Rattus norvegicus: one gene and its partners. The protein of the gene in region 2 interacts with the protein of the main gene of each other region in a biochemical or structural test. Links are inferred from orthologs where the notes say so. Each region holds a gene or a part of one and is shown on either strand. Other genes may lie near its edges.

Region 1 (3,500 bases), on a different chromosome or scaffold from region 2:
AGAAATACTTAATCACTTGCCCACGTTACAGGACACTGGGGCCCTCAGACTGTGTTGGGGACCTCCATAAACCCACAGGTAGATCTTCCTCATCTTGCCTCAAATCAAGCCTTCAGGCCACCGCAGCAGCCTCTGCCGCCCTCCAGTGGTGGCAGAGTTAAGTTTAGAGTCTACTAGAACCTGGCGTAGGAATGGGGCTACCTGGAGATGGGTCACAGCCCCTAAACTCCAGGCATCAACACTTTGATCCCTCTGCCCTTGGTTGGCTGAAGTATTTTCATGCACCTTGTAACCCTGCCTGTGGGTGGCTGTTCCCATATCCCGAGCCTTCCTTAACATCCTCCTCTCTAGTACTCACCCTCATACCCTCAAATCGAGACAGTGCCCTCAGAGGTCGCAGGGCCCGGAGTGTGCGCAGGGATTTGATGGGCCCCAGCTCAGAGTAGCCCAGCCAGTTTGCCACCAGGCTGATGATGGAGACCTGGAAGAAGTGTGCGTTCAGGAGGTGGAGGGTCCCTGACTTTTTTCTACATATGAGAAGGGTGTCCCAGTTTCTGTGTCTCCTGTAGACCCCATCCCTGATAGATAATCTTGTCTGTTGGGAAGAGAAGGCTTGTGGCCTCTGGCACCCTTAGAGCCAGGGCTCACCTCAATGATGTCACCTACAACCATAAATGAGAAGGACGGTACCCATCTCCCATGCTTCCATGTGTCTATCAATAAGAATCTTGCACTGGCAGGGATCATAAGACCCAGGCCTGAACTGTCATGCTTGGGAAAGAAGAGGCTGGTCTACAGGGAGCAGTGCTGACCTGGATGGTCTGATGGATAGATTCAGATAGGCCCCCCCAAACCCCCCAGAGCCTGGGTTCTCTAAAGGCCATGACGTCCCGGCTCCGTGGCCGGACCCGGGGGACTCACGTCCACGATGAGGAAGTCGAGCCAGCACCAGGCATTGGTGAAATACACCTTGAAGCCGTAGGCGACCCACTTTAGCAACATCTCCAGGATGAAGATGTAGGTGAAGACCTTGTCGGCGTATTCCAGGATGGTGCGGATGACTCGTCGCTGTTCAATGTAGATGTCTTCGAAGGCCTGGGGACACCAGCACAAACCACGATGGCCAGGGGCTCGGCAGATGGGGCAGCAAGCGCTGCTCCCCATCCTGCCTGCTGTGGCTGGTTCCCAGGGGTCTTTCAGGGGTCGTAGGTTGTAGGGCCTCTGCGTATCTTCCATCTCCATCCCCATCACCAGGAGGGGCGAGACTCCTGGTAGGGAAGGAGTCTTCGTTCTCGACTATCTTCCGGGGGTCGACAATATAATGTGTCTTCAGTCCTGTCCACCCTTAACTTCAAATTCCCACCCACCTCCCGTTGGCTGAGGGGACAGGGTCCACGAAACAAAGGGCCCCGTCTTTTACTTTAAGAAAATGAATGCTGGGCTGGGGAGGTGCCTTATCTGTCCTGCAAATGCGAGAGCTGGAAGTTTGGGCTCCCAGAACCTATGTCAAAGCCAGGTGGCAGCAGCGGCCTGCCTGCAATGCCAGGCTTACAGTAGACAGAGACAGGAAATCCCCTCAAACAACCCAAACAGCAAGCTCCAGGTTCAGTGAGAAACCCTGTCTCAATGCAAAAGATGGAGAACAATTGAGAAAGACGCCTACCATCCACAACACACTCTCATGCGTGCGTGCGCACACACACACACACGCACACACACACACACACACACACGCACACAGACAGACAGACACACACAGAGACAGAGACATGCAGACAGACACACACACACCACACACACACACACACACACGCGCGCGCGCGCACACACACGCAAACACACACACACAGACAGACAGACACACACACACAGAGACAGAGACAGGCAGACAGACACACACACACAGAGACAGAGACAGAGACAGACAGACACACACACGCGCGCACACACACACACCACACACACACACGCGCGCACACACGCACACACGCACACACGCACACACACAGACAGACAGACACACACACAGAGACAGAGACAGGCAGACAGACACACACACAGAGACAGAGACAGAGACAGACAGACAGACACACACACACACACAGACACACACAGAGACAGAGACAGGCAGACAGACACACACACACGCACACACACACACACAGACACACACACCACACACACACACACGCACGCGCGCACACACACGCACGCGCACACACACACGCACACACACACACACAGACAGACAGACACACACACACAGAGACAGAGACAGACAGACAGACACACACACCACACACACACACACACACACACACAGGCAGACAGACACACACACACACAGAGAGACAGGCAGACAGACACACACAGAGACAGAGACAGAGACAGACAGACACACACAGAGACAGAGACAGAGACAGACAGACACACACACACAGAGACAGAGACACACACACACGCACACACACACACAGATGCGTCCCCTCCCCTTCAGATCCCCTGGGTTTGGACATGTCCGGTCTGTCTCCATCCTTGGTATGGAAGCCTTAGGGAGCAAGGCACCTACTCCTGCTCCCGCCCTGTCCCCTGGGGGAGGGTGCCTACCAGGGCTCCACTGCTGAGCAAGATCATGAAGACAATGAAGGTCTCAAACCAGTTGTGCTCAACAATCTTGAAACAGGCCCTGCGCAGTGTCCACCACATTTTCCCACGGCCCTGGGAGATGTCCACATAGAGGCAGGGGCAGCGCTTCACACAGGCTGGGAGGCAGGGTGGTACATGTCACTGGCCTTTGGCTGTGTCAGAACACACCTCCCCACCCTCTGCCATGCTACCCAAGACTGGGGCCCCACCTCCTCCCCACAAGTGGCTGCATCTAGTTCACACAGGAGCTCAGGGGCTCTCCACAGCCCGTATGTCACTGCTGTTGAGACTGAGAAAAAGTGCTTCCCAAGCAAGCTCGGGACGTCAGCTATTCCCACGGGCCACCATCTCGACAAGCTTAGGCTCTTTGGCAAATGACTCTCTGGTTCAGGTGTGGGTTCCCCCGTCAAAGTGAGCAGAACTGTTTCTGTTGCTGGCCTCTGACCTGGGTGTGGGGCTGGTCTGTAGGTGTGATCTCACCTTCCGTGAAGCATTCCTCAGGCTGCTCCCCCTCGGGGTTCTCCTCAGCCTGCTCCTCGGGGTCCTCTTCAGGGGGCTTGTAGTCAGCTGTGCTGCAGACGGAGGAGTTCCCGTCGTAGAGGGGCTGTAGGGGCTTCTGTGGGAACCACAGGGCAGGTGACTCCTGGGTCCCACTCTCCCAATAGGTGGGGTAGTATGGGAGACCAGAGAGAAAGAAGAGAGCAGAGCAGGATCTACTCCTTCATTCGCTCATTAATTAATTAATTCATTCATTCGTTCATTCATTCATTCAGCCCTTACAAAACCACCACTGTGCCCTGGCAAAAGCACCCTAGTGACAAAAATGCCCTCAGCTCTGCCCTCCATGGCACTTA
Region 2 (4,298 bases):
TGAAGATGGTGTAAGACTTTCTCATGTCCGATGAAACGGTCTGTACAAATACATTGTTTTGTTCTTTTTTTAAAAATACACACTGGTTAAGATCCCTGTCAGTGTAAGTTAGATTCCCAAATTGAAATTACTAGATCTGCCATTCCCAGGGCTGTTGTCAAATGTTTTCAGAGGCCTGATACCACTGTCCTCTGTGCTAAGAATCTTATGTTCGTGTTAATACTAGCAGTTTTGGGGGTAGCTAAAATGCTTCCACTTCGATTCAAAATGACTTGAATATCTTTGGAGTTATTCCAAGTATTCGTCTCTGGCGTAGAACTCACTTTAGTAAATAATTCTTTGGTGGACTTCGTGAACTCATTCCCTTGGATGCAAGCCAAAACTCATCTGTAAGGCATATAGCTTTTTATTCAAAGTTGGTGATGAATAATTATCTCTGGGCTACAGACGGAAGTACTGAACCAGTGGCTTGAAGGACCCAGAGGCTAATTACCATCCCTGTGCATAGTTAATACAGAAGAGTGGGGGTGGACGATGGTTTGCCCAGAATCTATTCCATTCCCTCGGGTAAAACAAGGATGTTCTGTCTGCTAACATACTTAAAGCAGTAACTGTAAAAACGGCAATGTTATGGTTGAAGCTTTCTAAGCCATATGTGTTGACAGAATGCTTAAGTCTCTCTCTGCAATAAACGCAAACCCTGCCAGGCAGAACTACCAGGGCCAGCGCGACTGAACGACTGCACGCCCGAAAGCGTAGGGGCTGGAAGGCTGCGCAGCGCTCGGAGTGCATCCAATGTTTCCTCTAACAAAGGCACCGTCTTGAGGCAATTTCGCGGGCCCCGCTCCCCTTCCCAGCACCAGCTTTGTCTCCTCGGAGGGGCCCCAGGCGCGTCGCCGCTTCCAGCAAGCTCGGAGGCCGGCCCGGCGTGGAAAGAAGCTGCACGGAGCCGCGGCCGTGGTTTCCTGCAACCTGAGCGTGCCATTAGAGGATGTCGGAGTGCTGCGGCTGAAAGAGATACCTGCTGCCTGGAAATCGGGGCTGCACTTGAACAACCTCTTTGCACCAATTACGATCGTACAAAGAAACTCGATCGGCCGGGGCGGCGGAGGCCTCGCGGGGTCGTACGGGGGAGCTCGGCGGGCCCGGCCTCGGGGGGCGGGCCTCCCGTCGCGCGCCTCCCAGCCAGCCCGCGGCCCCCGGCCCGCGCCCCCCGCCGCCGACGTCGGGCGCGTAGACCCCGTGCGCGCTGACTGGCTCGCGCCGGCCTTCGCCCGGCTGTGGGCGGTTGGGGCGCCCCCGCGGGAGGCCGCCCCGCCCCCGCCGCCGCCGCCGCCCCCGCCGCCGCCGCCGCCGCCGCCGCGCGCAGCCTCGGCCCCCTAGCCGCCGGGGCGGTGGCGCTGTTGCCGCCGCGGCCTGTGAGGCAGAAACTCCCTCCACCCCGGTCCGGCCCGGGTCCGCCTCCTCCTTTCTCTCCTCCGCCTCGCCTCCCCTCTCCGTCTCCCGCTCGAGTGAAGGTGGCGCGGCGGCGCGCGACGCAGCCTCGGCCCCTGGCGCGGGCCCGCGAGCTCCTGAGGAGACCGCGCCACCGCGGCTGCGGGGAAGGAGAACCGGGGAGAGCGCAGGGACTGCGGCGGGGAGACTGGAGGGTTAGAGCGGGAGTGGCAGAGACCGGGCCGGCCGGTCGGACTGCCCGACCGACGGTCGCCTTCCAGCCTGCGCGGCCGGTCGGCTCCGGCTCGGGGCGGCGGGGGCCGGACGGGCGCAGGGTGCGGCCGGCGCACTCGAGACAATACCCGCGCGGCGCGGCTGTGGGGGCGGAGGCCTAGTGCGGCCCAGGCCAGCGGAGCTCCGCGTCCTCGCCCCCGTGGGCCGCGCAAGGTCCCGCGGCTCGGGGCGGGCGCCGTCCCCTCCCCCTCGGCGGCGCGCCGCCCCGGGGTTCCGGGTTCCCGGGCACCGAGCTGGATCCTGCTTTTCACCCAGGCAGGAAGTGAGTTTCGCACGGCAATTCCGGGCGGTGTCACGAGTGAAAAGTTTTTTCCTTCGGCGGAGAACCTAGACGAGGCTGGGAAACTCCTGACAGAAGTCGCAAGCAGGAAGCCAGCCCGCACCCCAGCCCCCACCGAAGCAGCCGCGCTGCTGCGGGCGGCAGCTCCACATCCGCCTAGTCCTCGCGGGAGCCTCGGCGGGGCCCGGAGCCACTGAGGAAGGGCAGGAAACCATGTCAAGCCGAGCCTCGGGACGGCTGCCCTGAGACACCCGGAGAGGTAATTTTTTTTTTACGGGAAGCGTCCAGCCAAGTTCGTGGGCCGGAAGCGACGGTACTTTAGTCTACCTCGCTCTGCCCGAGTTGTCTGACTTCTTTCTCCCTGGTCGGAATGCCTTGTCGTTTTAGCAACTGAATAGTAAAACTGATTTACCCCCTTGCCCCGTCTACCGTCTGGATTCCTTTCTTTTTAAGATGGGGTTGTAAGAATGTGGTGGGACGAAAAGTTTTTCAGCCGTCGGAAGAAAGAGTTCCTTTGTTGAGCATAAGGGCCAGAAGTTTTAGTGTTCCGGGACGTATACAATGTATATCAAGTTGCTGAGTCTGGCAACTTTTGTTTCGGAAGAAAGTTAAGTCTCGCTGCGGGGAGAGACTGATTCGCTCTCACTGAGATGGCTGCCACATTTGTTTATGTTGGTGTGGATTGTTTTGGTTTTCGCGTTAATCCTACATGGAGGTCGTTTTAAGGCACGTCTTTTTCTTTGGACTTAAGAAACTGCCTGCCTGCCATTCTCGATTGCTTTTTCTGGACGGCCAAGGAACTACTTGTAGTAAGTCATGCCTTCTTTTCAGTCCGTAGCTTACAGTGCTTGTTTGGTTACCTGATTGAGGACGAGCAGCTGCTAAATTTTTCTTGAAACTGGCGTTCTAGGAAGCAGAATGTCGTAAAGAGTATGGATAGAGACGGAGAAGGATATGGCTACCAAACCAAAACAAAACCCAAACACCTGCAAGAAGTTGATTAGTCAGGACTTGTATGCCGTTCCGATTAGGAACAACATTGGAAGGGAAGAGAAATAAAATCCTTAAGATTTTCAGGAGAGTCACATTGTGCGAAAAAGTGGCGCTGTTTTGCAGATGTATGGTCCTCATATTTTTTCGTGTTGGCCCATCTGGTTTTGTTTGGTTCTGCCTAATAAGTGATAGGTACAGACTGTGCGGGCAGGAATTCGTGAAGCATGGCAGACATTCCACCAGTCAGACTTAGGAACGCTTCTGAACCAATGAAACCTTCTTTATGGGTAAAACTAGTTTTGGTTGCAGTCTACCCTACTGTCTTTTCCCTTAGTAGTGCTTCAATTGTGTGCCTTTGTAAGTGTAGTTTGTTTGCTTCCCCTCTTCCCCCCAAGTGCTTTTGTGGTAAGGGAAGTGACAGATAATACTGTGTTTTAAATAAATATTAACTATAGGTAGATGTAGCTTAAGCTTAAATTGATGTTTAATCAGATATTACCAAAATAATTACCAGAAACTTGAGGGGAAAGAGTTGACTTCCTTTAGTTGAAAGAGGAAAGATAGGTTTTATAGATCAGGATCAAGTGAGTTCACAACTTGTTCTTGGCTATTTGGCTTTTATTAAGTACATTTCAAAAAGAGAATTGTTTCCAGTATTTATGTTGTTGTGTTATTAGGGCCTGGTCTCTGGAGTTTTTGTTTTCATTTTTATTTTATTGGTGAGATTTGTGAACCATCAAGTTATTCCTGTTAAAAGTCAGACTGCTTTATGAAGGAGTTTAAAGTGCATAACTGGTGAACTTTATGATTTGGGGACATATAATTAGGCAGCGAAAGAGGTTATTCTTGAGCACATGAAAGAGGGGAACAAAATAAATGACATTGAACTTCGCTTTCCTTTTATGGCTTCTACTTGGCTTCAGCCTCAGAGCCTTAATAGAGCAAGTCTTTTAGAGAATGAACACTTTGCAAAGATGTTTTTGTGTCATTCTGTTTTGTATAAAGTATCATGTCACTTGAAAATGCCTACTTAACACACCCACCCTTTAAAGAAGTAGGTTATTTTTGAAAGAGTAGTATGTTTAGCTTTTTGACATGTTGAAAATGTGAGGTTCCACCTTTGTGAACCTTTGATTCCCCCTTTTTCCTCAACAAGGCATTTATTTTGCAGTTAAAGTTGGGTAAATTTAGCATCAAATTAGCTTAGTGAGTTTTAGGTTTTATACTATTTTCAAGTCAAATATTTTTTGGAGTCTTGTTTAAAATGCAGCAACGGTCTGAAAAGAGATTTCTTATT
Region 3 (4,103 bases), on a different chromosome or scaffold from region 2:
AGGCTATATCATTTAGCAGCATAGGGGCTTTTTACCAAAATGAGTGGGTGTAGTCAGTGGTCCACTCTGACCATTGGCTCCCAGCTTCCTGTCTGTTAAGTCGGCTTCGACCTGGCTTCCTTAGGGCCACTTGACGGTCAATATACGGAGCTATCTTTTGTACTGCATGTTAAGGCCCTACCTCGTTTAACAGGATTTAAAATTGGTAACGAGTTAATTTTCTTTTTTCTTTTTTTTAAAGACTTATTTATTTTATTTATATGTTAGTACACTGTAGTTCTCTTTAGACACTTCAGAAGAGAGCATCCTATTACAGATGGTTGTGAGCCACCATGTGGTTGCTGGGAATTGAACTCAGGACCTCTGGGAGAGCAGTCAGTGCTCTTAACCGCTGAGCCATCTCTCCAGCCCGAGAGCTAATTTTCAAATTCAGCACTAAGGAATGTTTCTTCGGGGTTGATCAGCTCTGGTTGACAGACTCAGGGTTGTTGTCTGTGTCATATGTAACGAGGAAAATGGACAAAAAGTGAGGCTTGGGTCTGTCGGTGGTAAAGACACCGAAATGACAACAGTGTTTGGTTAGGGCTGGCCAGCACTCCACTGAAGGCCGCTGCCATCACAGAGAAGCTGGCCCTCAACAAACATCACACCATTTTAATGCTTTGTTTGGGTCTGGAACAGAAACATAGTCACTTAGCCAGAAGATGCTATTAGGTGCAATCGATGGTGGTGATGGATGCACCTGGGAAAATACAGAGGAGAGGGTCGAACCTGCGATCCTTTTCTGACAGCATCGCCTGGCTTCTAGCCTTGTGAAGTTACAGGGTGAGTGCCTGGCTCAAGGGGAAAGGTCTCCTGGGACATTGCAAGCTCTATTTTAAACTATGGAGGAGTGCCAGCCAGCAGGGAAAGCATAGGGCCATGGGCTGGAGTAAATGGGAATCCATATCATATCGTTTGACGGTGAGCTCCCACCTACCCCCAGGCTCCTGTCACATCCTTTGCGCTGGAAGAGGATGCCCAAGTTCCGGGCCTAAGCGTGGCCAGCACGCTCTCCAGCAGACGCTGCTCCCCCTTTCCACGCACACCCACCCGAGGTTGCGGTGTGCTCTTGATCGCTGGACACGTCACCGTCAATTTCACGAGGAATCATGAAAGGCTTTTGGCTACCGAGGTCGCCCGCGTCCCCCGTCCCCGCTCCTCCCCGTACCCCCATCCCCACCCCCACCCCACCCCCACCCCGCCGTCAGTGGCCTTGCACCCAGCGGCGCAGCACCGCGTCCGCGTCCCCGACGCTCGCTCCTGCCAGAGTGAGACCCATCTGGTCACAGATCTAACGAGCATGTGCGTGCCATCCCCGCCGGCTGGCGAGGTGGCGAAGAGACGCCCGCGCCCCGCAGTCGGCGGGCAAGCTCAAGAGAGCATTCTGGGAAGCGCTTACTAATCGCGCGCCGCCCTACCCACAAAGGCGCGCAGCCCCGGGGCGCGCGGGCGGCGCAGGTGAGCGGGGGGCGCGCCAGCTGTCGTGCGCCCGGGCTGGCGCGGGGTGCGCGCGGGCGGCCGCCGCGTCTTTCTTCTCCGGTGATGTCATCGGGCGACGGCGGCCGCGGCCGGGGGGCGGCGGCGGGGGCGGTGCCGGGCGCCCGCAGGTTCCTGCGCCGCTAATGAAAAGGCACTTGACAGCGGGCCAGGGCGCGCGCGAGCCCGCGGAGCCGAGCGGGACCTGCTGGGCCGGCCGGGCCAATCGCCGGCGCGCGGCCGCCCATGGGCGCGGAGGCGGCGGGGGCGCGGGTGGCCGCGGCCCGGGCCGCTCCGAGGTGATCGCGCGCGGCGCCCCCTCTGTGCGCGCAGCCCGAGCCGCCGCAGCGATGAATTCTGCCGAGCAGACCGTTACGTGGCTCATCACCCTGGGCGTGCTGGAGTCGCCCAAGAAAACCATTTCGGACCCGGAGGTCTTCTTGCAGGCGTCGCTCAAGGACGGGGTGGTCCTATGCCGGCTGCTGGAGCGCTTGCTGCCCGGGACCATCGAGAAAGTAAGTGGCCATGGCGCGGTCTTCGGGTGGGTCCCCGGCCCGGGCGGGCGGCGGGCGGCGGGGCGCGCGGGAGCACCTGGCGCGCGCCGGCTCGGGGCCCGCGCGCCCTCCTTTGTGCGCGGACCCGGCGGCGCGCCAGGCGCGGGGACCGGCGGCGGGAGTTCGGGGCGCCATTGTGTGCGGGGATCCGGGAAGGGGACCCGCCCTGTGAGCACAGACAGCAGAGGGGGCCGCGGTGACGCTCGGGGCCGGCTCGGGGTCACGAGAAGGAGAGTTGGCTGTGCGGGCGGCGGTAGGGTTCTGCTCCACCCTAATGTGAAGTTGGGAGGTCGGCTTCGCCCCTCGCCAACACCGATCAGAAAACCTCATCTCTGTGCCGCGAAGCTTTCTGCGATGGCTTTGTTTGAACGGTTTTCGTCGCTGGCTTTGCAGTCTCACCCTTGCGTTGAATGGACCGGTGGCTGGGCATGTTTAAAGGATGCATCAAAAGCCAAGCGAGGGCCGAGCTATTAAATGACTTACCGCTTTCCCTATCAAGGGGATTCCTCACTCATTCAAGCCTGCAGAACAGCGCACACAGGGTATTAAAGCCCGGACTTTTTGGGGGATGGATCGGAATTTTCATCTTCAGTGCCTGCTATGTTTGGAGCAGTCTACTTGCTGCTGCAGGCTGGTGGCTCCCTGGCGCTGCAGTGTGAACCTTGACCGCAGCTCTGGGTGACCAAAGTTTGTTTTCATCTGCAAGCTCACAGAGCAGGCAGGGTCAGGGGTTGGGAGCGCTTCTAAGAACAGCCAGCTTTTATAGGTCAAAGTAAAAAAAAATACTAAAGTCCCGTGTCCAAGATTATGCCAATACACAGTTTACAAGAAAACTTGAGATCCTTAGTAACTTAAAAGATGTTGAATACAGAAATGGAAGTTCCCCATAATTAGGAAGAAGTAGCATTCCTTAATGGAGCGCGCGTGCGCGCACACACACACACACACACACGCACACACACGCACGCACGCGCACGCACGCACACATGCATATACACACACGCACACACATGCACACACACGCACAGACACACACACATATATGCACACGCACACACATGCACACGCACACACACGCATGCATGCACACACGCACACACGCATGCGCGCACGCACACACACAGACACACATGCACACGCCCAGGCCCTAGGCAGGACAATTTGTTAGTGTGTATTAAGTGACCTGAAAAAGCAGACATCGTAATTTTATTCATAAATTGGCATGCTGCAGTGTCAGTCAGAAAACATTTAACATGAGTTCTGCATGGGTACCACAGGTTTTAGGTATTTTCCTGAACATTATTATGAAAAGGACATGCATCTAAGAAGGACTAACTGATGTGGGAAAAGCTGTTTATCAATGAGGCAGATCACTGAGTTAAGATGGGAAGACTGAAGAGCAAGGGTCTGACTTTCCAGGCACCGAGAAAACCCGGCTGCTGTCATCTGGCTGTTGGTGCCCCTTGATAATAAAAGACAGATGTCTGAGTGAGATACATGCTAAGGTTCTCCAAAACAGGCTTAAAGAAAGCCCTGCTCCGTTTCCGAGGTGAAGCTGTAACAAGATTCCTGGGCCATGTCAACAGACATGTCCCCGTCACTCCGCACCGCACTTGCCGTGTTTGCAGCATTAATATGGTCGGGCAAACTTCAAGATTCATATTCTGTTTTAAATTCTAGGAAGGTTTCCTAAGGAAGCTGTAGTGGCTCTTTCATTTCTGACGAGAGAGAGAGACAGAGAGAGACAGAGAGACAGAGAGAGACAGAGAGAGAGACAGAGAGAGACAGAGAGAGACAGAGAGACAGAGAGACACAGAGAGACACAGAGAGAGACACAGAGACAGAGAGAGACAGAGACAGAGAGAAAGACAGAGAGAGACAGAGAGACAGAGAGAGACAGAGACACAGAGACAGAGACAGAGAGAAAGACAGAGAGAGACAGAGAGAGACAGACAGAGACAGACAGAGACAGATAGAGAGACACAGAGACAGAGACAGAGAGAGACACAGAGAGAAACACAGAGACAGAGA
Region 4 (3,397 bases), on a different chromosome or scaffold from region 2:
AACCAAATGTTGAAAAGCATCAAAAATGATTACTGTACATACATGAGAGTATGGTCACAGAGAGTAAGTACCAAAGTTATTTGTCTGCAAAAACATGAAAGTTTACAAAGAGGAGATTGGGAAGTATTTTCCATTTGTACGGAGTTGCAAACAAAGGAATCAGCACTGGACGTGACTGCTGTGTGCTGCAGAGCAAAGGGCCAACAGGACAGCTGGGATCACCTTTTTGCAGAGCAGAAAGGTCAGTAAACCACACACCCAGGATTAGTCAAGAAGAGTGAAGTCCACTGCTAACTGCGGGCTAGAAATCTTGCTGAACGGCTTAGCTCACAATATTTAAAATTTTGAAACTAGGCAATATAACATTCTATTTATTATAAATTACAGACGATACACTTTAGGAACAGATGGCCCTATCTGCTGATGACACTTCAGCATCAGCTAACAAAGGTCTCTTCTGTGACAACCTGTAGTAAAGTGAGATGACGCCAAAAGCTGACTGCCTTTACAGAAAGATACTTTATTATCAGACTGGCGTTGGAAGAAGGAAACATACTGAGATGATTCTAGAATAGCCCTGAAAATAATTATACTGTCACCTGTGCACGTTTGAGACAAAAGTTAATCAATGGAACAACTGGTTATCATCTGCTGAAGTCTGGTTAGAAGACAAAAGGACTTACTGCTCACACAATCCTTTACTGGACTCAGAAGTAACTAACCCAGAAGCCATCAGTGCAACTATTTACCACAATGACATCATGCTGCACTGCTTTGAATCAGAACAGAAATGGCACAAAGAGCCTGGAAGTTTCCAACAAGGTTTCCTTCTAATGCAATTCAGCAGAAAATGATCACAGAAAGAATGCTAAGACCCACTGGACACATTAAGGTCAAGGACTTCCAAGTTAATCCACTTTTCTTCCCCCACGAGTTTATTTTTGGTAAAAGGCAGAAAAATTAGTTTCTACAAGGAAAATCTGCTTCTAAATGATAATTTGAAAATCTCGATATATATATTATATATTAAAAAAGACACAAAAATAACGGAGAAGTGGGAATAACAGATTAGGTACTGTAATTTTATAAAGGCTTGCCTAGACCAAGCAGCAGCACACACCTCATTTATGCACACTAAGAAGGTATACAAACAGCAGAGCACTGCAATACTGGGTCTGGACACATTACTGTACACAACTACTACTGGTATTAATAACCTTTGGGACACTGTCTTATGCCCAACGAGACATCATTAAGTCTTTAAGTCTTCTTTGTCCCCTCTGGGGAGGGCATTTCTAGACACTAATTTCCCATCTAAAATTCAAATGTAGGAAACAGACTCCACAAGGTGCTTTAACTGATGAGACCTCAAGTGCTGTTTTCGCTCTGGGTTTTGACTAGCACAGTCCACGGGATCACACACGAGTACTGTGGCGGAGGAGTTGGTACGTTAAGTCTTCCAATGAGCTCCACTGCTGACGGACTTTAGGACATGCTTGAGCATCGCACTGACGGGGATCCCATCTGAGTTAATACTTTGTCCAACCACTGCAGGGGGCCATTCAGATGAAGTTCAATCCAGCAAGGAGTACTTGTTACTGTCTGCCTCCTGTTTGAAAGAACACAAAAAGTTAGAAAATTAAAAGGCTATATATAATAAAATATTTTTTTAGAATAATTATTAGTTTTATATATAGTTATTAATTTTAAAATGGTTAATTTTTACTGCTAAAATGAACTAATGAGTTTTTCCTTTTTCAAGAATTTTCTTTTTTTTTTTTTTTTTTTTTTTGGTTCTTTTTTTTCGGAGCTGGGGACCGAACCCAGGGCCTTGCGCTTCCTAGGTAAGCGCTCTACCACTGAGCTAAATCCCCAGCCCCTAAGAATTTTATTTCTTTATGTGTGGTACATATGTATGTTTCTAGGTGCACGCAGAGGCCAGAAGGGAGTCGGATGTTTTCCTCAACTTCACTTTGTTTCCTTGAGTCAGGGTCACTCACTGAACCCGAAGCTCCCTATTCTGGCTAGACTGCCTGGCCAGCAAGCTCCCAGAGTCCATCTGTCCCCCAGCCTCAGGTCCTCAGTCCCAGCCACCCCATCCCACCCCATGCAGATGTTAGACACAGCTGTGTCCGGGTCTTGTGGATGCTGGAGCTTCATACTCAAGTCCTTGTAGTGGCCAACTTTTGAGATTTACCAACCAAGCTATCTCCCCAGAAGTCCACCTTTTTGAAAGATTTACAAACTATCCTTTCTCCTGAAGTTAAATGAGTCTACTGACACTGCTATTTACCTGCCACCTCAAATGGGACGCCTGTGAGAGGAAGGTACTTAATAATGAGGCCGGGACGAGAGACAAAAACCAGGAAAGATTGCCCCAAGGAAAATGACACATATGACCCCCTACTTTTATGTTATCAATGAAACCTACACCAGAACAAGGTTCAATTTTAAAGTCTGCTGACCCAATCTAAATCCTTACCACACAATGTTAAGATTTGAAGCTAAAGTTTCTCTAAGACTCACAACAAGCAACATCCTTGTCAGTAACACCCCTCAGGCTTCTACTTTAAAAAGTGAAATTAAAACCATCTAGGCTTTAACAAAGGGGGCACTGCCTACTCCCTGAATCTTATTTGCTACAAAGAGTTATCAATACATTTACTTTTGCTTCTTCAACATGACATTCTTCAATCATGGTCGAAGAACATTATCAGGTCTCCATCTTTAAACAATCCATGCCTGACAGCATTGAGGACTGGACAGCCATAGGGCTGAAGGCTCAGCAGGAGAGTATGCGATGCTCTGTTAGACCCAGGTTAGTGACCGGGACCCACATCTGGCAACTATAAACACCTGCAACTCCAGCTCCAGACAGCTACAACCCTTTCTGGATTTCACAGGCAATGCCATTCACACACGCACAGACACACACGCACAGACACACACGCACAGACACACACGCACAGACACACACGCACAGACACACACGCACAGACACACAGACACAGACACAGACACACACACACACACACACACACGATGATACACACATAATTAAAAGCACTGCAGGAGGGGTTGGGGATTTGGCTCAGTGGTAGAGCTCTTGCCTAGCAAGCGCAAGGCCCTGGGTTCGGTCCCCAGCTCCGATAAAAAGAAAAGAAAAAAAAAATAAGAAAAAAAAAAAAAAAGCACTGCAGGGGAGCTTAGTGTCCAAGCATGTATGTAGTGCTTTTTATCCCGTGGTATCAACTCAAGTAACCCCTGGGTCTTCGGGATGCTCTAGGCAACTTCCAAGCACAGGCACCTGCATGAGGGTTTCTGCCATGCTTGCATGTGTAGCAGGCTGGAGATCCCGTACACTCAGCAGACTGGGGTAAGGAGAAGCGAGACCACA
Region 5 (3,500 bases), on a different chromosome or scaffold from region 2:
GGAAGTGTTGTGGTTTGTTGACTGACTAATCAGAAGGTCCTCTAGGCCTGCCATTAGTGGTCAAAGATAACTAATCTGCATGGGTTCTAGAAAGTGAAGCTTCCACACAGCATCCTGAGGGCGTACAATGGGATGACTGTAACGATTTTCAGGCTTTCACTAGCTTCTGGAGTCAATCTGAAAGGATTTCACGAAAGGCTTACAGCCAATAGGAGGTCTGCCTCCTGTAAACCAGGAGCCAAAATGAGATTGATATTATGCATTTGAGAGCCACTGTCTGGGGGAAGTGTCACGACGACCAGTGTATCAGTGCATGGGCAGTCCAGAGGGGCTCGCACAGATGGAGGGGAGGGGCACCTAAGAAGTGCCAGGCCTCCCATTCTGAGAAAGCAGAAGTTGACTTTCCAACATGAATGCTTCAACATACTTCAGACGTGCGTCTTTGTATGCGTGTGGGTGGTGGGATAGTCTCTCTCCAGCAATGTTACTTAAATTATATGGATTTTTTTTTTTTTTTTTTGGTTTGTTGTTGTGGTTCCTGTTAATTTTATCTGTTCTGTTTTAACCAGAGGCCTTTGTGGGAGAAGTAACGGGTCCTAGCTAAGTCAGAGAAAGCAGGGAAACAAACTGGCATCTGCACACCGTCTTCAAGTAAACAGAGTCCCTGACGCACCCGGAGAGTGTACTTTTAAGGCAAGAGGAAGAAACAACCCACTGTGACAGCTTATAAAACGCACGGGCTTTGGCCCTAGAGTCTGTTAAGGCACAAAACCTGGTAGGCAGCTGTTGTCAGTGGCCTGCACCTCAGAACTGGATTTGTAAAGAACAGTAGGAACATTTAAATAAAACAACAGGCCATGTTGTTAGGACCTGAAGTCACAGGATAAGGTCGAAGGGGAAAGTCCAAAGACGCCGGTCTCTTGTCTGTGAAGGATCTGTTGCAGAATGAAAACCAGGAGTGCTGTAGTCTAAGAAGTGCGAGCCCCTTGTTGGGGCAGGGGACACCCTGGAAACAGACTTGACGTCCTGGTAGTAGTCACAATGCTGTTTCAAATATCGTTAAGGCGGAGGGCTGTCCGTTGGAGGTGCTCATAACCGCAGGGCTGCTGAATGCAATATCCGGATAATTCCGTCTGAAGTACACCTGTGGAAAAGAGGCAGGCGAAAAAAGGACATGAGTACATTTTCAAGCCTTCCTCTCGGAGGCAATGCTTGTCTGTCTCCATCCAGCAAATTAATCATAGCGTTCGATGAGGTAATCACTACACCCATTGAGGCGCAATTAGAAGTCCAGGCAAGCACACATCCCGTGAAACGGCGGAGAAAAACCCTCAGCGCGGCAGGGCTGAATGCCCAATGACTTGGAGATCCACTTTAGCTCTGATCACTTTGATTCACAGATACGTTTTTATCACGCCATTAAACCGATAAGCAAAATCATTTCACTGACTCAAATACTCAGAGATAAATTAAAAAACGGGAGGTGGGGGTAGGTGTGTGTGTGGGGTGTCACACAAAGAGGCCAGGCGCCTGTACTGAAGTTTCCCATTTTCGCGCATAAAATGAACACAATAGACCTGGATGCTAATATCAGCTTGTAATCCCTATATATTACAAACTCTGATTGACAAGCATTGAAACTCTGGCGTCTACGCGTGAAATATCCCGGCACTTAATTTGTGCAGCAAGGCCGTCGTAGGGCCTACAGAACCGCGATCTGTGGATAGCGGGGCCGCAATGAAAAGAGAAGCAAATGCTGTAACAATGACCCAGCCAGGCGACTTCTCTCAAATAGAAGATGACACCAAATAATAGGACGGCTCTTTGCCAGGCCTTTGAATTCCTGAATTCTGCCAATTCCAATAGCAGAGATACAGGCTCTCTGATAAACGTGTAATCAGAACATAAAGGACATGAAATGCTGTCAGGCTTCTCTGTTCCCCAATCGTCAGTTTTTAGCGGCTGTATCATATCTGGGTTCCCTGACAGATGCGTATTACAAAATGAAATAATGTCAGGACTTGTGAGCTCTTATCTCTAAATGTGTTTGCGTGAAAAAGGCCTTCAAATGCAATTTTTCCCCCCCTTCGGAGAAGAATGTGAAAAGTTTTGTTAGAGTCTTTAAAACAGAAAACGTAGCATCTCTCTGAGCTGACACAAGTCACGCACGAGTTGGGTCTCCCCCTCATGCTCCTCCCCCCGCCCCAGGCTGTGGGTTTATATACATGGGCGCTGTCAACAAAGTTGTCGGTGGGAATGATGGGCTTCCCAGGTAACAAGGTCACGGATGTCTACTTCCTTAGTAAGTATACCTCCCTTGGGTTGCTGGCAAACTTCTCCCTAAATACCACAGCACGGAAGATTCCTTTTACGAGAGAAATGTCACTGAAGAAGAAAGGTCCTATGGAACAGTCTGAGACGACCGCCATGAGCGCGCGCTTTCGAACACAGGATGAACTTGTTCTTTTTGGTGTGTCTGTGTACTCGAATGTCAATGTCATCTCCACCTACACTCTTAAGTCCAGCTCCAGAGGACCTGACGCCCTCTCCTGGATTCCGTGGGCACCGCGTGCACACGGCGCATACACATACACACAGGCAAGACGCCCATACATGTCAACTAAAATGGTCTTGGTTTTCCCGTCAGGGATGCTTTGCCGAGAACCATTTCAGGTGTATAAAAGCCCTGACTTGAATTTTTTCCTACCATGTTTATAACACATTCTGATAAAGGCATGATTGAGACTGGGCATCTTCTTTTAAATTTAATTTAACATTTTTTTAAGTTGGGGGAGACAGGGTTTCAAGGGTCTCAGGCTGGCCTTGAATTTATCTTAGACCTGGGAATGACCTTGAACTCCCAATACCTGCGCCCACCTCCAAATATTGGGATTATAGTCATGTACCACCATTGGAGTGTCTGTTAAAAACAGGGGTGCTGGGGAGTGAACCCAGTGGTTAATGCATTCCGGGCAAGACACTCTACCAGTTGTAGATTCCCAGTCTCACAGCATCTACATGAGATCAAGCCGAAAGATGGCTAACATTCTCTACTGGGCCATCAAGCCGCAGGCTGAGCCTAGGCTAAAAGGGACCAGTCTCCGTCTCTCTCTTCAACACCCAGCTGATGCTGCAACGTCTACTTAGCCTCCTTCCACACTGTCTGCCTCATCTGTAAAGACCAGATAACAAAGACTTACCTCATAGGAACTAATTAATGGCTACAAACTGCAGGCTGAAAACATGCTGGGCCAAGTGCTGGGTGTGTTACTGACAGTTGCTCAGAGGAACAGCTCCTCAGTGTGTGGAAAGCAAGGCTACAGATCGGAAACGTGAGGACAGTTGCGGCTTCCACTCTCTTAGGTGGGCCTCCTGACAGGATCTTTGCGGACTCCCAGGCCTGCGGTTGAGACACTGATAGTGGGGTTAATATGGTAGTCTAGGAGGCAGGATGGCAGGCTGAGATGCCTGGGGCTTGGGGTACCTGCTGGCTGGTAACT
Region 6 (4,239 bases), on a different chromosome or scaffold from region 2:
AGCATAGAAAGTAGTGCAAAAGAAAAAAAAATTCCAGTCTTAAGACCTGTGAACAAAACTTGTTACATTTCCTCCAGAACATTAGGCATTTGCTAGTATATCTCCCCAAAATTAATAACAAAATATAATCAATTTCTAAAGGCCCCTGCAGCCTTTTCAAAAGTTAATTTCCAGTTAAAAATAAACTTTAATTAAATCCAAGATTAAATTGTGACCTATATTCTATTAAATAATTTACTTTCTCTTTTTTCTACACAGTAATTCTTACAATTTCTAGAAAACAACTACAGAATCCAAAGACATAGGAGATGTTATTAAAACACTGGTAAAAGACTGCTCAAGTTCATTAGTTCTTACATAGTAAATACTTCAGAATGCCAACTTTTCCCATCACGGCACAATTCCCAACAATGTTGACAATTTACTTACACTCCCATGGCCACACACTCTCTCACTCTCTCACACACACTCACTCTCCTCGGGACCACCTTTACTATTAACATTTTCCCATTATGTGCAAAATTCTTGCATTCTATTAAAAAATATAAAGATAGATCTGCTGTTTTTAATGCCTCCCTCTTCTCCAAGATGCATCACTTATTTGATATGCAATACACGTTTCGCCACAATTATGCCATGTATCGCCATTAAGCAGTGTATTACTGTATGCAGTGCATATCTCATTTTCATAACTGCATTCTTTATGTATGAATATATTCGGAGCTGGGCGGGCGGCAGCGGCAGGTGGGGAAAGAGATTCACACATCAGTCTCCACAGCCTTTGCATTAGAACAGTTGTTTTTATCTGTCTCGCTGTCATCCCCCTTTCCCTGACACTTCTCTTCCTTTCCACATAAAGACTCCTTGACCCCTTCTTCCATCTCTAGATACTCTGACTTGTCCCCCAGGGAAGAAGAAGTAGAGCTCCGAAATTTCTTGAGCAAATTAGAAGGTAGGTATGGGCAACTGACTGCGTTTTGGGTCAGCTGGGTCTGTTCTTCGTTTTCAGTCTCTCTGTGGTAGAAATAGTTAAAGTTAGACACAATCACCGGCACGGGCAAAGCAATGGTTAAGACACCCGCAATGGCACACAGGGACCCCACAATCTTTCCTCCCACTGTGATGGGCTTCATGTCCCCGTAGCCCACAGTTGTCATGGTTACCACAGCCCACCAAAACGCATCTGGAATGCTTTGGAAATGGGTGGTAGGTTCATCTGCCTCTGCAAAATACACAGCGCTGGAAAAGAGGATGACCCCGATGAAGAGGAAAAAGATAAGAAGGCCCAGTTCACGCATGCTGGCTCTTAGGGTGTGGCCCAGGATCTGCAGGCCCTTGGAGTGTCTGGAGAGCTTGAAGATCCGGAACACTCGGACCAGACGGATGATCCTGAGGATGGCAAAGGACATAGCCTGCTGCTGCTGGCCGTTGCCACCCCCCTGCTGCTGGGCCAGATCGGTGCCCAGAGTGATGAAGTAAGGCAAAATGGAGACGATATCAATGATGTTCATGATGTTTTTGAAGAAGAGTGCTTGACTGGGACAAGCAAAGCATCGAACCACAAACTCAAAGGAAAACCACACGATACATACTGTCTCCACAATGAAGAAAGGGTCATTGAATATTGTGTGCCCTGAGTTCTCCAGGTGGGGTGCCGAGGTGTCATTCAATAATCTGCTGTGTCCACCTGCGCTGAGGGCCATGATGAGGTCCCTATCATCCCTGAACTCAGGCAAGGTTTCCAGGCAAAATATGACAATAGAGATTAAGATGACCAGGACAGATACGATGGCTATGCCCCTGGCAGGGCTGGAACTCTCGGGATATTCAAAGAGAAGCCAAATCTGTTTTTTAAATTCATTTTCTGGCAGAGCCCTGTCCTCCTCTTCTCTCACAAAGCCCTCATCCTCACGGAACTTGAGCAGGGCTTCCTCTCCCAACTGATAGAACTTCACCTCCTCAGTGAAGATATCAAAGGGGACATTGACTGGCCTCTTCAGGCGGCCTCCTGACTGGTAATAATACAAAATGGCATCAAAGCTGGGACGGTTCCTATCAAAAAAATACTCATTGCGCAAAGGGTCGAAGTACTGAGTCCTCTTCTCAGGGTCTCCCAACAGAGTTTCTGGAAACTGAGCCAAAGTTTTCATTTGGGTTTCGAAGCGTAGACCAGACACATTTATTACCACGCGTTCACAACAGTCACTGTAGCGGACTGAACTGTAGCCGCCGCCACCCCCATCATCCTGTGGCAGTAGGTCAGTGTAGGAACACCCATCCCCATGGTCCTCTTCACTATAGTAAAACCTTCCCTCCTCTTCCTCCTCCTCTTCCTCCTCCTCGTCTTCCTCCTCCTCGCTCAGCTCCCTAAGGATCTTCTCTTCAGAGCCACTGGGCATCAGGTCTGAGCAATGAGGAAAACTGCTCTGCCTGTGGTGGAGTTTCTTCTTCTCAGTTCGCTGTCGCCTCCTCCTCCGACTACCTCGGCTTCCTTGAGGATCATGGGAGGAGTAGGCCCCACGTGTCTGATGATGATGGTGGGGGCCTCCACCAGAACCTCCAGTGCCTTCCACCGCAGCCGTGGCAGCTGCAACAGCAGCAGCTGCAGCTGCCCTGGAGTGAGCAAGTCTCTCCCTCTCTCGAGCCCTGGCCTGGGCAGCATAACCATAAGGCATGTGGCTGTTGCACCCTGAGCTCTCGGCACTCACCATTGCCACCTCCATGGTGGTAGTTTGGGGAAATGGCTGGTTCCAGTTGTAAGAGAAGAAGAAAGAAAAATAGGGCAGCTTATTTTCTTACCAAATTAAGGTAAGTTTGGAAGCCTTAAGCAGATTGCTTAGAAGACTTGGGATATTTTCAGTCCAACTTTGCATTTTCTGTTTTTAAATCAGCACACCCCATGCTCCCTCTTCTCAGAGACTCAGCATTGCTTTCCAGAGCTTGCTTAGTCTAGACAACAGCCTAGTGCTCCTCAAACATAAGTCATGAAGTGATGTGGTCTCCCAAACACCTACGTTTTGGGGGGTAGGTGTTCAAATCTGGAAGTCTGTCTGGGATGCGGTCTGATGATGACGCTACAAGACTCAAAGGCAGCAAGAATCTGACAGTCAGAAGTTGTGCCTAGAAAATGAAATATTTTTTTTTCTTGTATGGAAATTGTCCAAAGCCAAGTCCATCTAATTTAAATAAAATGCAAATAAGTCTTTAGTCTTAGCACTTGCCTTCTAGTGATAGCTTGACCCATGTTAAAATGTGGCTTAAAATATGCCCAGCCATTGCTGCTCAGTCTATGAGGATGGTCTCCCAGACCTTCCCTCTAAGGTCATCAAAGCCTTCACGGAACCACAGACAATGGCAGGTTGTAGATAAAGACCTTGAAAGGTAGAGAAGGTGGTAGATGGGGTTCCAGCAGGGGCAAACTCAACACTGAGGTATCCATAGAAAGCAGGAAGTGAAGAGCCTCCTTTGGCTAGAATCATTCAGAAGGAGCACTTCACCTGAAAAGGGATGGGAGATAAGCAAAGGAGAAAAATAAAAAAGAATCAAACCATAGAGAGCAAACAGCCCTTTACTCCGAATACACTTCTCTTGTCCTCAGGCAAATCATGAAACACACACCAGGAGAGCATAACTTTTCAAGAGTACAGGGCGGGCTGCTCTAAAATCTTTCCCACTCAACATCCACCTGTCTTCTTCGGCCATTGCTTCCGATCAGTCAATTTTGTGGCAACTCATTTGTTTCGATCCTGTCCGTTCTCAGCCCACACGATTCTCGCTTTCCTCTGCCCCTTCACCAATGCCAGCTCCTAATTCTTAATAGCTTCCTCCTCCTTCCACAACAGCAATGCTCTGACTTTACAGCTGTTTCCAGTATTCATTGATCTCAAGGGATTCTCTTTAAATTTCAGTCGTGAAATGCTGCTGAATTAAGTACCCTTACATTTTTCTTTTTCTTGGGATTAAAGAAGTGAGGGAAAAAACAGCTTTCTTCAGTTTAAACTCCACTACTTAAATGGATATCAATTACCTAATCTATAAAATGTAGACAGTATAACCCATCCCCTTTACCCCACATTGGGAAAGGATCAATGGAGATCATGGATGCTAGAGCACACTGTCAATGTACACAATGAATGGCAACAAATAAGGCAGTTATGAATAATACAGCATTAAACTAGGCTGTCATCTGTCTACCCACTCCCAAAATCCACATTCTTTGCTGCTGTCTGACATAGGGGA
Region 7 (3,500 bases), on a different chromosome or scaffold from region 2:
ACAGAAGACTAAAGGAGCTGGATTGCTCAGAGGCCTGGAGCCAACCCAGACCTGAGACTGCCCCTCCCTCCCCCAGAGAATCCCGGCTGTCAGCATCCAAAAATAGCCTGTGTCTGTGGGCAAATGTACCAGGATGGGGGCTGAGCCGACAGTGGGGACAGTGGAAGAGACAAGGATAGTTATGGGAGGGTTTTCTGCCTGGAGTACAGTGCCACCCTGGGGGTGCCCTGAGGCCTCGCAGCTCCTGTGTGCTTTCTATCCTGTCTGCCACTTGTTCCGCAGGTCATTGGGCTGCTGGATGTGTTCACTCCCGATGAGACTCTGGATGACTTCACAGACTTGTAAGTGCTAGTGGCTGGGTGGGGGGCAGGAACCTGGGTGGCTTCTAAGTGTCAGCTTAAGGTTCTGGGCCAGGTTGAGGGCCTTCGTCCCAGAGCCCAGTGGTTCTCAACCTTCCTAATGCTGCGTCCCTCATGTCCTGGTGACCCCCAACCATGAGATTGTTTTGTTGATACTTCATAACTTTTGCTACTGATATGAATTGTCGTGTAGGATGTCCGATATGGGACCCCCAAAGGGGTCATAGCCCATGTGAGGGATAGGGTGCACACTGCTCACCCACTCCTCTTACCACAGTCTACTCCATATTCCTATATGCTCCTGGGAGCCATGAACTTGTGTGAGTGATAATACCATTTTCCCTTGTCTATCCCTCCGTTCACCTGAACATCCCTGTGACCTAGATACCTTGCGGCTCCAACCCCTGCCCCCGATTCCTGGTCACCCTATGTGTGGTAGGAGGGGCCTAGGCAGCTTCTGGGTACTGGCTTCAGGTTCTACGTTGGCTTGAGGTCTTCTTCCTTCCCATGGCGAGGGCTTCTCAAGTGAGGGCTGAGGTGCGTAGAGCTCGTTCACTTCTCGCCACAACCCTATGGACTATTGGTACCCCTAGATACTGGCACACCCTGGTAAAACCAAACTGTCTCCTTCCAAGCCTGACACTTGGGCCCTCACAGTACCTGACTAAGTAATCTGAGGTGCCAGCATCAGGTGCAGCCCTAGCTGCTCACCCTGCTGCGTACGATGCCCCCCCCCCCCACGTCAGGAATTTTACAACCCTGAGGGGGAGTGTGGCAGTGCACACATTCGCAGCCCCAGCATTTGAGAGATAGAGCTGGGAGGGTCAGCATTCCAAGGCCATTTTGGCCTGCATGTGGTCCCGTCTCCAAAAACAAAAGCAAGGGCTGGAGAAATGGTTAAGAGCACTGACTAGGGGTTAGGGATTTAGCTCAGTGGTGGAGTGCTTGCCTAGCAAGTGCAAGGCCCTGGGTTCAGTCCCCAGCTCCGGAAAAAAGAAAAAAGAAAAAGAAAAAAGAAAAAAAGAGGGCTGGAGAGATGGCTCAGCGGTTAAGAGCACTAACTGTTCTTCCAGAGGTCCTGAGTTCAATTCCCAGCTATCACATGGTGGCTCACAACCATCTGTAATGAGATCCGATGTCCTCTTCTGGTGTGTCTGAAGACAGCCACAGTGTACTTATAGGGGTTGGGGATTTAGCTCAGAGGTAGAGCGCTTGCCTAGCAAGCACAAGGCCCTGGGTTCGGTCCCCAGCTCTGAAAAAAAGAAAAGAAAAAAAAAAAAGAAAAAGAAAAAGAGCACTGACTGCTGGGACTGGAGAACTGGCTCAGCGGTTAAGAGCACTGACTGCTCTTCCAGAGGTCCTGAGTTCAATTCCCAGCGACCACATGGTGGCTCACAACCATCTGTAATGGGGTCTGGTGCCCTCTTCTGGTGTGTCTGAAGACAGCTTATATATAATACATATATGTATATATATATGTATATATACACACATATATACTTATATATGTATATATATACTTATATATGTATATATACATATATACTTATATATAATAAATAAATAAGTAAATAAATCTTTAAAAAAATAAAAAGACAAGGTTGGGTGTAGAGGTGCAAGTCTTTAATTCCAACACTTAGAAGGCAGAGGTAGAGAGAGGTAGCTCTCTGTGAGTTTGAGGCCATTCTGGTCTATACAGTGAGTTTCAGACCAGACAGGACTGCAAAGTGAGACCTTTCCTTAAAGAGCCCGGGCTGGAGAGATGGCTCAGCGGTTAAGAGCACCCGACTACTCTTCCAGAGGTCCTGAGTTCAATTCCCAGCAACCACATGGTGGCTCACAACCATCTGTAAAGAGATTCGATGCCCTCTTCTGGTGTATGTGAAGACAGCTACAGTGTACTCATATATAATAAATGAACATTTGTTAAAAAAAAAAACAAACAAAGAGCCCCCAAGCCCAAACAAAATAGCCCTGACACACAGCCCACTCCCTGCTTGCCATTCTGGAATGAGGGGATGTGGGCATGGGTTGAGAAGATGTAATTGCCAAGGACAAGTGTGATCAGAGGGCGGGTTGGTGCCTAGCATGGCACGGTGGGGGTAGAGACATGGTAGGATGGTATGATCCTCAGTGCTAGGGATGACTGGGTGCTACAGTGAAGTTGCTTTGGTGGCACCTGCCAGGATGGGATCTCGAGAGTTGTGAACTGGGCCCAGCCCGGCCTGGTGGGACTAGCCCTGATCCCTTGGCTGCCTCCCTTGCTTCCACAGCTACCTGGTGATGCCATTCATGGGCACTGACCTGGGCAAGCTCATGAAGCACGAGACTCTGAGTGAAGACAGAATCCAGTTTCTTGTGTATCAGATGCTGAAGGGGCTGAAGGTGAGCTTTGCTGAGGTGGCCATAGGGAAGTGGGCAGAACTTCCTGTTGGTCAGGGCAGGTCTCTGTGTCTTGGAGTCAAGCTGATGGCTGCTGAACTCCCTCTTTTCCACAGTATATCCACGCTGCCGGCGTCATCCACAGGGTGAGTTCTGGAGGGACTGGGAGATTGCCCCTGCTCCTCCCAACTGTATAGACAGAAGTGCTCAACCCCAGGGCCCATTGCTTAACTGTAAGGAGCAAGATAGGACTGTGGCGGAAATACCTGTAATCCCCAGTTCTCCCCAGGGACTTAGCCCCTCTGCCCTTCCCCAGAGGGGCCAGGCCAGTTTTGGGGGCTCAAGTAAAGTGTTGCCTGGGCCCTGCTCTGGTAGGTGGGTCATAGTGGCCACTTTCTTCTCTCAGGACTTGAAACCTGGAAACCTGGCTGTGAACGAGGACTGTGAGCTGAAGGTATCACTGGGAGGGGAGAGGACAATGGCGGGGGTTGGGACCCCTTCCACTCTCCTACTGCCCTGCTTGACTTTTGGCCTAGGCAGAGGGACAGAACTCAGACATTTGAGCCTCCATTAGGAGGCTCCTAAAGGTGATTAGGGGATGGTGAAACAGAGGGAAATCTTCAGTATTTCCTCCTGAGGTGGGCAGGGCCAGGGACACCGACCACAGGGAGAATCCTTGGGGCTCAAGACCAAAGGGTGGCACAAAGCTCCAGTGTAGAAACCTCAAGCCCAACTCTCGTACAGTCTTCTGGACCACAT

What was found.
Region 1: the proteins of Erbin (region 2) and Scn4a interact in a test that uses a peptide from one of them, tested with the Homo sapiens proteins (2 studies listed by BioGRID and IntAct). The link is inferred for Rattus norvegicus from reciprocal best matches to the Homo sapiens genes ERBIN and SCN4A.
Region 3: the proteins of Erbin (region 2) and Arhgef7 interact in a test that uses a peptide from one of them, tested with the Homo sapiens proteins (2 studies listed by BioGRID and IntAct). The link is inferred for Rattus norvegicus from reciprocal best matches to the Homo sapiens genes ERBIN and ARHGEF7.
Region 4: the proteins of Erbin (region 2) and Smad2 form a complex in vitro, tested with the Homo sapiens proteins (2 studies listed by BioGRID). The link is inferred for Rattus norvegicus from reciprocal best matches to the Homo sapiens genes ERBIN and SMAD2.
Region 5: the proteins of Erbin (region 2) and Abcc4 interact in a test that uses a peptide from one of them, tested with the Homo sapiens proteins (2 studies listed by BioGRID and IntAct). The link is inferred for Rattus norvegicus from reciprocal best matches to the Homo sapiens genes ERBIN and ABCC4.
Region 6: the proteins of Erbin (region 2) and Kcna4 interact in a test that uses a peptide from one of them, tested with the Homo sapiens proteins (3 studies listed by BioGRID and IntAct, with this or other methods). The link is inferred for Rattus norvegicus from reciprocal best matches to the Homo sapiens genes ERBIN and KCNA4.
Region 7: the proteins of Erbin (region 2) and Mapk12 interact in a test that uses a peptide from one of them, tested with the Homo sapiens proteins (2 studies listed by BioGRID and IntAct). The link is inferred for Rattus norvegicus from reciprocal best matches to the Homo sapiens genes ERBIN and MAPK12.

What each region holds. Positions count from the first base shown.
Region 1 is NC_086028.1:91,754,825-91,758,324, forward strand, and holds part of Scn4a (sodium channel protein type 4 subunit alpha), read right to left. Parts: intron 3,263-3,500; coding exon 3,127-3,262; intron 2,763-3,126; coding exon 2,608-2,762; intron 1,096-2,607; coding exon 922-1,095; intron 482-921; coding exon 359-481; intron 1-358. UniProt on the Homo sapiens protein: Pore-forming subunit of Nav1.4, a voltage-gated sodium (Nav) channel that directly mediates the depolarizing phase of action potentials in excitable membranes.
Region 2 is NC_086020.1:36,759,354-36,763,651, reverse strand, and holds the start of Erbin (Erbb2 interacting protein), read left to right. Parts: upstream 1-1,498; 5' UTR 1,499-2,267; exon of another isoform or gene 2,268-2,817; intron 2,818-4,298. UniProt on the Homo sapiens protein: Acts as an adapter for the receptor ERBB2, in epithelia. By binding the unphosphorylated 'Tyr-1248' of receptor ERBB2, it may contribute to stabilize this unphosphorylated state.
Region 3 is NC_086034.1:84,481,960-84,486,062, reverse strand, and holds the start of Arhgef7 (rho guanine nucleotide exchange factor 7), read left to right. Parts: upstream 1-1,303; 5' UTR 1,304-1,664; coding exon 1,665-2,033; intron 2,034-2,152; exon of another isoform or gene 2,153-4,103. UniProt on the Homo sapiens protein: Acts as a RAC1 guanine nucleotide exchange factor (GEF) and can induce membrane ruffling. Functions in cell migration, attachment and cell spreading. Promotes targeting of RAC1 to focal adhesions. May function as a positive regulator of apoptosis.
Region 4 is NC_086036.1:72,184,344-72,187,740, reverse strand, and holds the end of Smad2 (mothers against decapentaplegic homolog 2), read right to left. Parts: intron 1,610-3,397; coding exon 1,486-1,609; 3' UTR 501-1,485; downstream 1-500. UniProt on the Homo sapiens protein: Receptor-regulated SMAD (R-SMAD) that is an intracellular signal transducer and transcriptional modulator activated by TGF-beta (transforming growth factor) and activin type 1 receptor kinases.
Region 5 is NC_086033.1:101,948,913-101,952,412, forward strand, and holds part of Abcc4 (ATP-binding cassette subfamily C member 4), read right to left. Parts: intron 1,145-3,500; coding exon 1,037-1,144; 3' UTR 1-1,036. UniProt on the Homo sapiens protein: ATP-dependent transporter of the ATP-binding cassette (ABC) family that actively extrudes physiological compounds and xenobiotics from cells.
Region 6 is NC_086021.1:114,213,897-114,218,135, reverse strand, and holds the start of Kcna4 (potassium voltage-gated channel subfamily A member 4), read right to left. Parts: upstream 2,801-4,239; 5' UTR 2,724-2,800; coding exon 759-2,723; 3' UTR 1-758. UniProt on the Homo sapiens protein: Voltage-gated potassium channel that mediates transmembrane potassium transport in excitable membranes. Forms tetrameric potassium-selective channels through which potassium ions pass in accordance with their electrochemical gradient.
Region 7 is NC_086025.1:122,089,808-122,093,307, reverse strand, and holds part of Mapk12 (mitogen-activated protein kinase 12), read left to right. Parts: intron 1-282; coding exon 283-341; intron 342-2,632; coding exon 2,633-2,744; intron 2,745-2,857; coding exon 2,858-2,887; intron 2,888-3,147; coding exon 3,148-3,195; intron 3,196-3,500. UniProt on the Homo sapiens protein: Serine/threonine kinase which acts as an essential component of the MAP kinase signal transduction pathway.